Linked DNA regions of Daphnia pulex. The protein of the gene in region 2 interacts with the protein of the main gene of each other region in a pairwise test. Links are inferred from orthologs where the notes say so. Each region holds a gene or a part of one and is shown on either strand. Other genes may lie near its edges.

Evidence for each region.
Region 1: the proteins of protein lin-7 homolog C-like (region 2) and epidermal growth factor receptor-like interact in a two-hybrid assay, tested with the Caenorhabditis elegans proteins (3 studies listed by BioGRID). The link is inferred for Daphnia pulex from reciprocal best matches to the Caenorhabditis elegans genes lin-7 and let-23.
Region 3: the proteins of protein lin-7 homolog C-like (region 2) and protein hu-li tai shao-like interact in a two-hybrid assay, tested with the Caenorhabditis elegans proteins (3 studies listed by BioGRID). The link is inferred for Daphnia pulex from reciprocal best matches to the Caenorhabditis elegans genes lin-7 and add-1.

What each region holds. Positions count from the first base shown.
Region 1 is NC_060021.1:730,316-734,538, forward strand, and holds the start of epidermal growth factor receptor-like, read right to left. Parts: upstream 2,931-4,223; 5' UTR 2,672-2,930; intron 1-2,671. UniProt on the Caenorhabditis elegans protein: Tyrosine-protein kinase receptor which, upon binding ligand lin-3, activates 2 signaling cascades: the let-60/Ras and MAP kinase signaling pathway and the let-60-independent phospholipase C-mediated Ca(2+) signaling pathway.
Region 2 is NC_060028.1:9,842,881-9,846,430, reverse strand, and holds protein lin-7 homolog C-like, read right to left. Parts: upstream 1,995-3,550; 5' UTR 1,846-1,994; coding exon 1,803-1,845; intron 1,727-1,802; coding exon 1,685-1,726; intron 1,622-1,684; coding exon 1,373-1,621; intron 1,281-1,372; coding exon 1,171-1,280; intron 1,109-1,170; coding exon 953-1,108; 3' UTR 593-952; downstream 1-592. Other genes in the region: T-complex protein 1 subunit zeta-like, read left to right, coding at 1-305, 365-434.
Region 3 is NC_060022.1:4,675,335-4,678,985, reverse strand, and holds the end of protein hu-li tai shao-like, read right to left. Parts: intron 3,608-3,651; coding exon 3,458-3,607; intron 3,172-3,457; coding exon 3,091-3,171; intron 2,789-3,090; coding exon 2,720-2,788; intron 2,325-2,719; coding exon 2,247-2,324; intron 1,828-2,246; coding exon 1,625-1,827; 3' UTR 1,608-1,624; intron 1,537-1,607; 3' UTR 249-1,536; downstream 1-248. Other genes in the region: tetratricopeptide repeat protein 1-like, read left to right, coding at 39-154. UniProt on the Caenorhabditis elegans protein: Membrane-cytoskeleton-associated protein that promotes the assembly of the spectrin-actin network. Plays a role in time-dependent memmory loss and the retention of conditioned behavior over time.

The DNA.
Region 1 (4,223 bases), on a different chromosome or scaffold from region 2:
CAACCTAAAAGGTGTACCACTGGGCTGTGTTGCTATTGGTCTAGCCGGGCCTATAAGAAGAAAATAAGTTCCTCCTGGAAAGAAGAAACATTTTTCCTTTGAGGGGGCAGAAAAAAAAACAGCTGGACACAGTGATTACATGTACACCAAGTAGTTGTGTGAGCTGGGCCAACAACAAGAGAAGCTAGGCGCCATGTTGCCCAGCAGCTGGGAAAATAAGAAGAAAATGGCCATCATCATTATTTTCCAATGTAAGATGACGACAAGGTCGTCGTACCTTCTTTTAAACTTGTTCTGTTTTTCATTTTTTTTTTCTGACGGCCAAGACATTTGGCCGGCCAGATGCAAATGAAGCCATTTGGGAAGAAAAGAGAGTGGAAGACCTGGCCATCTTTCTGATGATGATGATGAGGCTATGCTGGGACTTTTATATTTTATCTTATATAGTATATAGAGTTGGCCGGCTGTTGAGATTTTTATATGACGGGCCGGCAGCAGCTGAGACATTCCATCGGGCGGCTGCACGACCGCTGCTGCGGCCGTGAATTGAGCCCCCTGGACTTGTGTGTGTTGTACATCAAAGATACTCGATCCTCTCCTGTTGCTATACGAGGCCGCCGCCCGTCAGGGCCGTCTCTCTAAATTGCCGCCGCCAACGATATGACGGGCCAATGAGTGAGGCCCTGCAGCATCAGGAGCCAAAAGAAAGAAACGTGTGATGTTTACGATCCCGGCGGACTCTATACAAAATATAAGAAGCTGGGCAAGAAAAAGAAAAACATTGTCCGTTTCTCTCTTGATGAGGTACCGTCGTGAGCCAGCGGATGACGGACCTTATACGGATGATTGGAATCCCCTCCCAGTCGAATTCCTACGACGATTTAGACATTCGGGAAACAAAAAACGGACAGGTGCTGGCGATAGTTTTAAAAGAAATGCCGGGCAAAAGAATCTCTCAACGGGTTGACATGGTGACGGATGCTTCTCTCTCTCTTCTATCCATTCTCTGATGTAATGTCTAACAAATGAGCGACGATTTATATTGTCTCCTTCTACCGTTTGTGTGGCTCTGGGCTTTTTTCCCTGTCTTATCTTGTCGCCCAGTCATTGGTATTCCAGGCCAGCGTTCAGCTTCTTTTCTTCTACTTGATCTCTACATCAAGTCTGGGCTATTTCTCTAAACACACGTCTCAATCCAAACGCAATTCTATTCCATCCGTTTGATACTAAGAAGATGGAAATTTTATTTAAAAAAGAGCCGGACATTGTGTGAGATATATTTCCGACATTTCCGTTTTAAAAATGGGAATAAAAAAGATGAAAACAATCGGACGAGACAGAGACAAAGGGCCATCTGTCAACCCCCTCTGGTCAAATAAAAATAAAAATAAATAAAATGTTATTTTTGTTTTTTGTTTTTTTGGCCCAGCTGCTGCCCGTCTTGATGATGATATTAAGTCGCAGGTAGTTACGACAGCAGCGGGTGACTTGTAGTAGTAGTAGACGAGTCCCTTTTTATTTATATAAACATGGCCCGTCTCGTCCTGGATGGACCCAACCAAAAAATATCTAATCCTAATAGGGGAAAATGGCTGGCCCTTCGTCGCCCGTCGTCGCCACGGTGAAAAATGAGCGGGACGTGAGGCGAATTTCCAATCACATCAAACGACAACAAACAACAACCACAAACGAAAAAAATAAGAGAGTTGTCCGTCTGGACTCCCAATTAAGTGACATATTCCGTCTATAAGGGGTGGCTGGCCGGCCCAGTCAACTTATATTTTTCTCCCAGACGCGTTCAACTCTCTATTTTTTGTTGTTTGTAGAGTGACATGAATGCGCGGGCAGGGCCGTCTGACTCAGAGACAATCAATTTCAAAAGAGAAAAAAGAGAAAAAATATTTTTCCAGCCGAATTTGGAAAGCCTATTCGTCTGCCCAGCAAAGATATGATGAGATGGTTGCCAAGTATTTTCTTTTTTTCGCTGTCATTACGTACACAGACGGACCAAAAGGCAACACACACACTGAGCTGCTGTGAGAGCTGAGCAGGTGAATATTTTATTTTTTTTCTTCTTTCCCGCTAAGTCACGGCGAACGCGCCCTCCTTCACGAAAAGAGCCAGAAGCGCAGATGAGTCAGCAGCAGCTCGGCCGGCCCTCCACCACAAGGAGGAATGTATATATGTTTCTTCTTCTTGTTTAATTCTGCCATGGCACCAAACGCATCACAGTTCAGACGGGCCGAGATAAATTGAACTGCGAGAGAATCTGACTGGAGAATCTCTCTCGTCCACTTGGCTTAGTTTCATGGCCGTCTCTAACCTAATACCTAGCTAGCTAGATAGCTAGGAGAATCATTACCTCGTAAACATTTTTTTTCCAGCCCAGCTCAAACAGACTTTCTCGCCCAGTTGAAATTCATTTGATTTCCTCCCCAAAGCTCAAACGAAATGAATTTCACACGACCTTTTCGGCTGCCCATCAATCTGTTTGCTGGACATATTTTATCTATTTTTTTGTGTGACGACGGCCAAGGTCGATCCTGCCCGTCTATCACACCTGTTGAGCTTCTCTAATCCCAACCGATCTTAATAAATTAAATTGTGTCCGTCGAGCCATTGATCAAATTCAAATTTAGCGCCATCGAAAAATCAAACCAAAAAATCTCACCTGTTGGCTCCTAACTCTTCCTCCTACCGCTGTTAAATAATCCAACCGAATTTCAATTTAATCCAAGCCTCCCACACTATTTAGTCTTCACTTTAAACTAAAAAAATGAACTTGTTCACTATAGACACAATCTGTTGAGGCATCCAACCACACACACACACAGGTGAGAAGACACACACAACACCAAAATTTAAAAAATGTTATTTATATGTGAGAGTCGGTAAGACGACGTCCTCGACACACGGACAACAAACTCGAGACTGAAGTTGAGAAAAAGCCAGTCGCTCATTTCCCCCCCACCACCACCTGAAAGAGAGAGAAGCCTCGTCTTACCTTTTTTCTACCTGTAGCTCTCCCTCCTTTTCTTATTTGCCCATTTTTTATTTCTACCTGTAGTTACAAGAGTCTGCCCTGGGGCCTTTTTTTATTTATTTTCTTCTTCTTCTTCTTCCATTCTTGTACATTTCCCCCCCTTTTTCCTTCTTCTTCTTCCTATTCTATTCGGCATTTTATTTTTTAAAAATAATCGAAATTGATCCGAGTCAATTCTGTTCACTTTATGCAGATCGACTCGTATTGCTCAAGAGTGTCCGATTGTTACGTGCAAAGGTGTGCTCAGCCTTGCGTCATCAGATAACACACCAAGTTATAAGACACTTGGGAGTCCCTTAACTTATTGTGCCGATCTATACCAGCAGTCGAATAAGGTTCGATAGCCATCGTCGTCTGCTGTAGTCATCAAACAGGTGAAAAAAAGGGCCTGGACATTTTCTTAAAATAAAATAAAAATAACACCCAGATTCCAAATAACATTCAAACGGGAAAAGAAGAAGAAAAAAGGTGAAAAAAGTCACAAGTCGGCGCTAATTTTCACGAACGTCTCGTCTATGTGTGCCTGGAAAAACCTGTGCAGCAGCTGAAAGAACTAACCAAAAGGTGAGAAAGGTATTAGATGTGATAAGAAAGAAAAGAATAATTTATCTTTTTCTTCAGAAAAGAGAAAAAAAATTAAAAAAATGGCTGCCGGCTATATAGACACACCGACAGGTAAACACATGGCAGATTTCTACATCTACTGGCGTCCTTCTCTATTTTCTATTTTTTCTCCCCCTTCCTCCATCCAGAGGCCTCCTGACTTCCAGGCGCCGCCATCTTGGAAAGCGCGCGCGAGCGGCTTGACTTTTCATCCCAATTTCCACCTTTTTCCTTTTTTACCTTCTTTGCCGTATATCTATTCAAATTGGTTAAAAAAAAAGGACAGGGGAGGGAGGGTTATTTTAAGTAGAGATCAAACACCGAGATATTTCCAACCCAAAAAGGTTGATATTTCTTGAAAGTTTGGTGGTGTGAGGCGACTGTCGCCAACCCTTTTAGCACAAAGTCCAGGATATATCTGTGAATATATAAAACTTGCCGGCTCTCTCTCTGATAAGATTCAAATGAAATAGGCCTCAATGTTGATGGTTTTAACAAAATAATAATAAAAAACACGAAAATGCTTTCGTCTTTTTTGGGTTGGGACTCGTTGGAAATATCATTTCATTAATTTGAT
Region 2 (3,550 bases):
GTCGTTCCCGGTGCTGGAGCTGTTGAAATTGCAACTCATAAGGTCTTGGTTGCATACAAGGAGCAAGTCAAGGGTCGCGCCCGTCTTGGTGTTCAAGCATATGCTGATGCCATGCTGGTCATTCCGAAAGTGTTGGCACAAAACGCTGGATTTGACCCTCAAGACTCTATTGTCAAAATGCAACAAGAGTTTGTTGAAGGTGGACCCCTTATTGGTCTTGATCTACAATCGGGCGAGCCGATGATTCCAGCAGATTTAGGAATCTATGATAACTATCGTGTTAAGAAACAGATTCTCCATTCTTGGTAAGTTTCAAAATTATTGTTGATGTTACCAACTTATTTATTTATTTTTATTTTTTTAGCACGGTCATCGCTAGCAATCTGCTTTTGGTAGATGAGATTATGCGTGCTGGTTTGTCCTCATTGAAGTAAATGGCCGTGCCTCAAGGTCCACCGAGTTCCTGAGCAGCAATGGATGACTTTTTTCTAATCAATCTGCTTGAATTCTAATTTCGTTCCGGCTTACCATTTTCGTCCGCTTGAGAAACTAATGTTATTACAATTTGCTAATCACTACTAAAACAGCATTGTTTGATTCCGAAGTTATATTCATTTCAACAAATAAGTCTACAGATCAGTTAACATCAGGTTTTAGCTTAGTTAATGGTTTCATTTAAGAAAAGGTTGCTACTATTTCTTCCATTTTGCAACTTGTGTTCAAAATAAGCAAAAAAACAATTGCAAGGACGAATGAAGGTTTCTCTACATTCATGAGTGATAACGTGTAACCGTCTTTGTCATAGAATTTAACTATGAAATATTTAGCTACACAATATTGAATATTTTTGTAACAGTCAGGATGGGGAATTGGTTACACTATTGATAATACGAGGAGTCAAAATTTGCGATGGGGACGATGATGCTCCTAATTGAGATTTGTTAAAGTGAACTTAGTACGGTTGTCTTCGGCGCGTGGTCCTTTGTTTATCAAAGCGCATTTCCATTTCTTCCAATATTTTTGGTGTGTAACGCACAACTAGTTTCACTGAACCGTGAGCAGCTTTCAGGAGTTCCACAGCTTTCTCGTGATTTTCACCCTCTACCGACTAAAAAAAAAATTAACAGTCAGAGAAAACTTAAATGGAAGAAGTAAGTTTATCAATTTTACCACTCCATTAACAGAGAGCAATTGGTCACCACGCTTTAGACCACCATGTCTGTCTGCAACACCTCCAGGAATGATTCTTGATATGTAAATTGGTGAATTTTGTTCCCTTCCTACAAACATTCATTTGGTAATTATAAAAATTAATTTTCACCATTGCATTCTCAAGGAAAGGATATGCATAAAAATGTATTTATTTTGTTACCTCCCATGACATTGAATCCAAGACCTTCATCAGTTTTGGGGAGTTCTACGACTCGAGGATGGGCATGGCCTTCACTAGCAGCAAAAGCTGCAATTGTAGCTTTGGCTGTGGCAGAAGCTCGGACATCAGGTGATCCTCCCATTTCTACTGTCTCATAAACATGTTCGTAAACTTCTCTGACAGCTCTTAGAAAGTCACTCTGCAGCACCTTGTGAAGAGCAGACAGTTTTGCCGTTGGAACTTCTCCACCTAGTTTTGATTAGAAATTATTATGACCTAGTGCTCTTGATAACTGATATTTTAAAGATTTACTTTTCATCAACTTCTCCAGCAATTCCACAGCTCGGTTTATATCTAGAAGATAAATTTTAAGGGATTAATAAGAGCGTTCCACGACAGCTAGTTGCCTTCAGAAGTAAATGCCGTTTACCTTTGTCGAGAGACAATTGTTCACTTATAGTAGTAGCTGCCATAGTTTATATCAAGAAGTAGAGGTTTGCAATGAGAAAAACTTCAATAAATGTCAAAACTGGGTTAAAAAATGGAAGAATTTTCAGGGCAAAACACACGAACTTTCTGTCAATACATAGGCTCCGCCCTAAAACTGATTTGTCCGGCGATGGATCTGTTCTCCAACGCCCTCTTTAATTACAAAAAGTGTTATATCATAGTTTAAACCTGAAATGTACCGATATATTTTCGAATATTCAACGAGAAATTTTTAATTGTCTAATGTTTAAAAAAAACTGTATTTAAAAATTTCAGGTTAAATAGTAGCTGTATTTGCCGTACCCCGTAATGCTCGGCCAGCCAGAAGCGGTTTCCTCTAGACTAGAAGGTAATCAATAGCATGTGCCATACCCTCTCCAATCCCTCTCCCCGCACCCTTATACCAAGTTCCGCTTACATCTGACTATTCCAAAAGTAGCATCACTTTGTTAGGGTGCTGATGACAGTCCCCCAGATTTATCGAATCGTTTTTCTTTTTCTGCTTTAGCATAAACTTGTTGTCGCTTATTTAACAGTAGAAAACTGATGGAATAGTCAGGCATTGGTACCAGGGTCTTTTGACGTTTCTATTAGGATTTAAACTACTATTGCAATTAAGTATTTTAAAAAATTTCAATGATATACCGATTACGTATTCAGAATGAAAGGATGATACAGAAACATGTCTAAGCACAAGGTCAAAATGAAGAAAACAAATGTGTTTGGGTGTGTCAGTAGGAGTCAGATTGCTAATGTTTTGAAATAGAGTTGTAGTCTGATTTTCATGGAAGTCGATTTAAACTAATCAATTTTTGTCTGATGTGTAGTACTCATCCTCACAAGAGGGGAAGTGGTGGAGGAGGAATTGGCCTAGATTTTTGGTGATGAAATGAGGTCCGAATATCCATTACCCTGTTTCATGTTTTTGAATGTCAAAGTAACGCAACAACTCCAGATTTGCGAATTTTGTTTACGCTTTAATAGGTCAAATGTTGAATTATGACCTAGATGTCTGCCGCATTTGATAGGAGAACACAAGTATCGAAGAGCGGATGAGTGCGTTCGGGACAGAGGACGACGAAAAACAAAACATAAAAAAAAAAGTATTCAGACAAGTTGCCGAGAGATTGATATGGTAATTCACTTGAAAGACGACGGCTGAGTCAACAAATGCTGTGAGCGTCGCGCCGCCCGCTCTTTGGCCGCCCGCCGGGATAGACGAAGAACGCGCCTAGTGCGGACAGGACAGGAGGTACAAATAGCAGTCGGTGTCGATATTAGCTGGCATCGTGTTCTCTTGAACGAGCGAGGTTTAGTCAAGAAAAAGTTACTACACTTAATCTTAACAGTTCTTATCCAGACTATTCATCATCATGAAATCAACCAAAGTTATCACGCTGTTGCTGATTGCATCTTTCGCCATGGTAACGTCAATTACTTTGATTTTTTTCAATTTTCTTAATTTACAGGAATCTCCATATTTCTTTGTGGTTAAAAATAGCAAAAGCTAGGCCCAAGTATATTCATTTCCTTTCGTCATTTGGAATTCAGTCTTGTGTCATTCTGCTTATAAAATGCAACCTATTCTTTGTGTCGTGTCATTTAAAATTTAAAAAATCCTAACCGCATTTATTTCAAAATAGCTGGCTCTGTTTGATATTACCGCCGACGCTGCAGCATCTGAACAAC
Region 3 (3,651 bases), on a different chromosome or scaffold from region 2:
TTTATTTGTTACTAACCTGTGCAAAATACTTTGTGCAGGAAAAATGAAAGATTTGGGAAATATGTTTCTTAAACCTTTTGGATTGTCAACTGATAATTTCAAAATCAATCAAGATCCAGCCACAGGCTCTTACTCAGTTAACATGTCCAAATGATTTATATGCTTACCCTCATTGAGGCCACTATTTGAAAAAGAAATGTCAATAATAAAAATTGGTAAAGCTGGAAATAATTTGAATAAATTCCTCGTTCTGTGGACATTCAGATTAAGGTATAATTTTCGGCCAGACGCCACGTGCAGTACAGTTATATAGTGATACATCATAGTACACTTTTCGTTCGATTTCAAATGACACGGAACTGCATACCAGAAGAAAAAAATCGGTAGTCAAAGGGTTTTTTTTGTTTTAATGTTAAGCTGCTGGTCAAGCTGGCATGTGTGTTCAAGCTACCTTTTCTCCACAGTTTAAAAAAAGCATACCAAACCAACGAAAACGCTTTTTAACAAATCTAGAAAAAAAAAGTCGAAAAAAGAAAGGAATAGATGGAAAGGATTTGAAGAAAATTGCCAGGTTTAAGAAAGGTAAAATATAAATAAGATAGCAAAATAGCAGGGGGATGTGTGTGCTACATGATTTGGGATATAGAAAGTAAATTTCATGGGATTGAGGAAGAAAGTAAGTGGCCCACACGGATGAATTAGTACTACATTAACAAAAAGGAATAATAATGGGGGGGGGGGATAGACACACCTGACGAATCTTAACTCGAAACAAAATGAAGAGGCCAACGGTGGGGAAGAAAAAGACGGCAGAAGAAAATTAAAACGAAGTATTAACATCAAGTCAATCCACAGGATTTAGGTTTTGAATTGAAAAAAGCACCTCGCACTGCGATTGAGAAATCGACACTTATCGAGAAAACCCCACGCCACATTTCATCCATTTTGGTTCTATTGTATGTCTCAGTCCGAAGATGTCCAACCAAGCCCAACACAAACAAACAGGTTTTTTCGTCGATCTCCCAAAGACCCCTACGTTCTTTACACAATTGCAGCGCGCGAAATCTCCAATTATTGTCTACCGGGTAGCGTAGTGGGTCGAAAAGAAAGGTGGTACAAAGAAGCCAAGAGTTTAATGTGTTTTTGTTTTGTTTTTTTTTTCAAATAAAAGTTTCTGCAAAGTGCCTTTCGTCGTCCACAATCCTTGAATCAGAGATTCTGGTCTCACAAGAGTGTAACGGAGAAAGAGATACTAAAAACCAAACACTTTTTTTTTTTCTCCAATCTAAAGCAAGGCGGATTAGTTTTTTTTTACGATACTTGACGCAAACCAAAGAGGACTACCGGAGAGTAGCTGAAGTATATAGAAGAGATTATTCATGGTTTTTTTTTTCTTTAAGATGAGAAAAAATAAGGAAAAAAAAAAAAAAAAACGAGAAAAACCCCGACGACACTCGAGTGGCAGTGCGCTGTCCCCAAAAGAGTCCCAAAAGAGTTTGTTTCTCATTTATAGATTATTTCCGAACACTGAAAAGCCTGCAAATAGATGAAAAAGCCTTTGATTAGTTTCACACGACCGAGAACTAACTTCATTTTTGAAAACGTACGAAAGTGAAGTAGTTGTTCAAGCTTCTGGTGTTGGCTTCTTCTTCTCCTTGCTTTTCTTCTTGAGGAAGGATGGTGTTCGAAGTCCTTTCTTCTTCTTCTTGTCCTTGGATTTGGAGGGAGAATCTTCCGTCGACATGTCGCGAGCTGACGATTCGTCGCGGCTACTCTGCGACACCTGGCTCTGTGGGTTGTCTATTTCGTCGCCATTCACTTCAGCGCCTGTGTAAATTGTTTGCAATCAAACGCATTAGTTTATTCACGTCCTCGAGTGTCATCGTCAATGTCAGTGGGTTATTAGCACGAGTTGCCACTCAAAATCGTTTTAAAAGTTATTATTTTTTTAATCACTTCACCCAGGTTGTTAGAAAAACTTCAATTAAATCTGGTAGTTAGTTATTCACCTATTTCGAGGCACAACTGACTGACTAGAGACCCGGGTCTTACAGGCTTCATCGAGAGTGTTTAAGAAACGTTTTTAGGTATTAGTTCAACTAAATAACAACAGCTATTAGCTACAGTGCTACACAGTTAAAAAACAAACAAACTAAAAGGGAAGTTAGCAAGCCGCAAACAACAATGAATAATCAAACAAGCGGAGGGACTGGGATGAGAAACGACTGTAATGTGTGAATGCAAACCTTTATTCTGGTGTTTCCTCTTGTCGCGGCCCAGCGACCACGAGCGACGCTTGAACATGTCCCAAGCATCGCCCGACCCTAATCCACACGACGGCCCAACACACAAAAAAACAATGAAATAAAAAAAAAACACACAACAGAAAAAGCGACAACTATAAGGAACAGATAAGCCTTAATGTTGGTCTATAACGTCTTTAAAAATCGACTAGAAATTCACGTTAGTTTTTTTTTAACGTCTTAAGCAATGTACAGTCTGAGATCTGTGTTCTTTTGTTTGGTTTTTTTTTTAAAGCGGTGAATTTCTTGACAATTACTAAGCATGCCAAGCATTTAAAAGAAATTAAATGGAGACGTTACAGGATAAAGTTTGAAAAAAAATACATCATTCAATAAAATTATAGGCCGCACTGCTGGCAAGGGGCGGCTTATAATCAAGAGGGTTATATAATGTTAGAAAGAGGCTCATCACTCACCGTCGCGCGGAAGGCGGGCGGATTTCGAGCGCTCGGCAAAAGGCTCAGGCGACTCGGCCCCTGTGGTATCTACCGGGGCAGACGGAACAGCCAACAAAACAGCAAACAAAAAAAAATAAAAAGGGTGGCTAGTTTTTTCTCGCATCCACGATTACATGCAGCGACACAAAAAGACACACAGCACGAAGCAGTCATCACCACACCCATTCATTCATCATGTGCATTCTCAATTCTGGCCATGACATCATGCAAAACACATGCTTGACTGCGACTCGATTACTAACTAAATTTGGAACCACAACAGCTAAGGATAGAGAGAATAGAAAGACGAGGAAAAATAAAAAAGACAAATGAGAAAAAAACAAACTAACCGTCTGCCGGGAGAAGTTGGCGTTGTGCGTGATCTTCTTGCGGCACGTGTTTCACAGCCACCTCAACTACTCGTGGACTTGCTACTCAACGAAAGGTATTTGTGTGTTTTCCCGAAAACCCAACACGGAAAAAGAGGAGAAACATATATAAAAAAAATAATAATCAAGGGAAACAAAAACGACAGTGAATTGAATTGGAAAGAAGAGGAAAATATAAGAACGACTAACAGGAAGTGACGAAAAAATAAATAATAATAATAATAGAGAAAACGAGTATACGAATAAAATTGCCCACCACCACCGCTATCGATCCACAACGAGAAGAAGAAACAACCAAATAATAAGATGATTGATATGAAAGACGTACCTTCGTCGTCACTTAGCGGCCGTGGCGATGTTGGTGATGATTTCCGTTCGGGACGGACTTGCTCACCACTTGGAGATAGTACGACAGACTCGGCTACAAGAGGCTCCATCGTGGGAGCTTCCGTAGTTGAGTAACTGACTTCGTGTTCCTCTGTAGTTTTTAAGAGAATCAATTATAACTTGCTCCAACTTTAG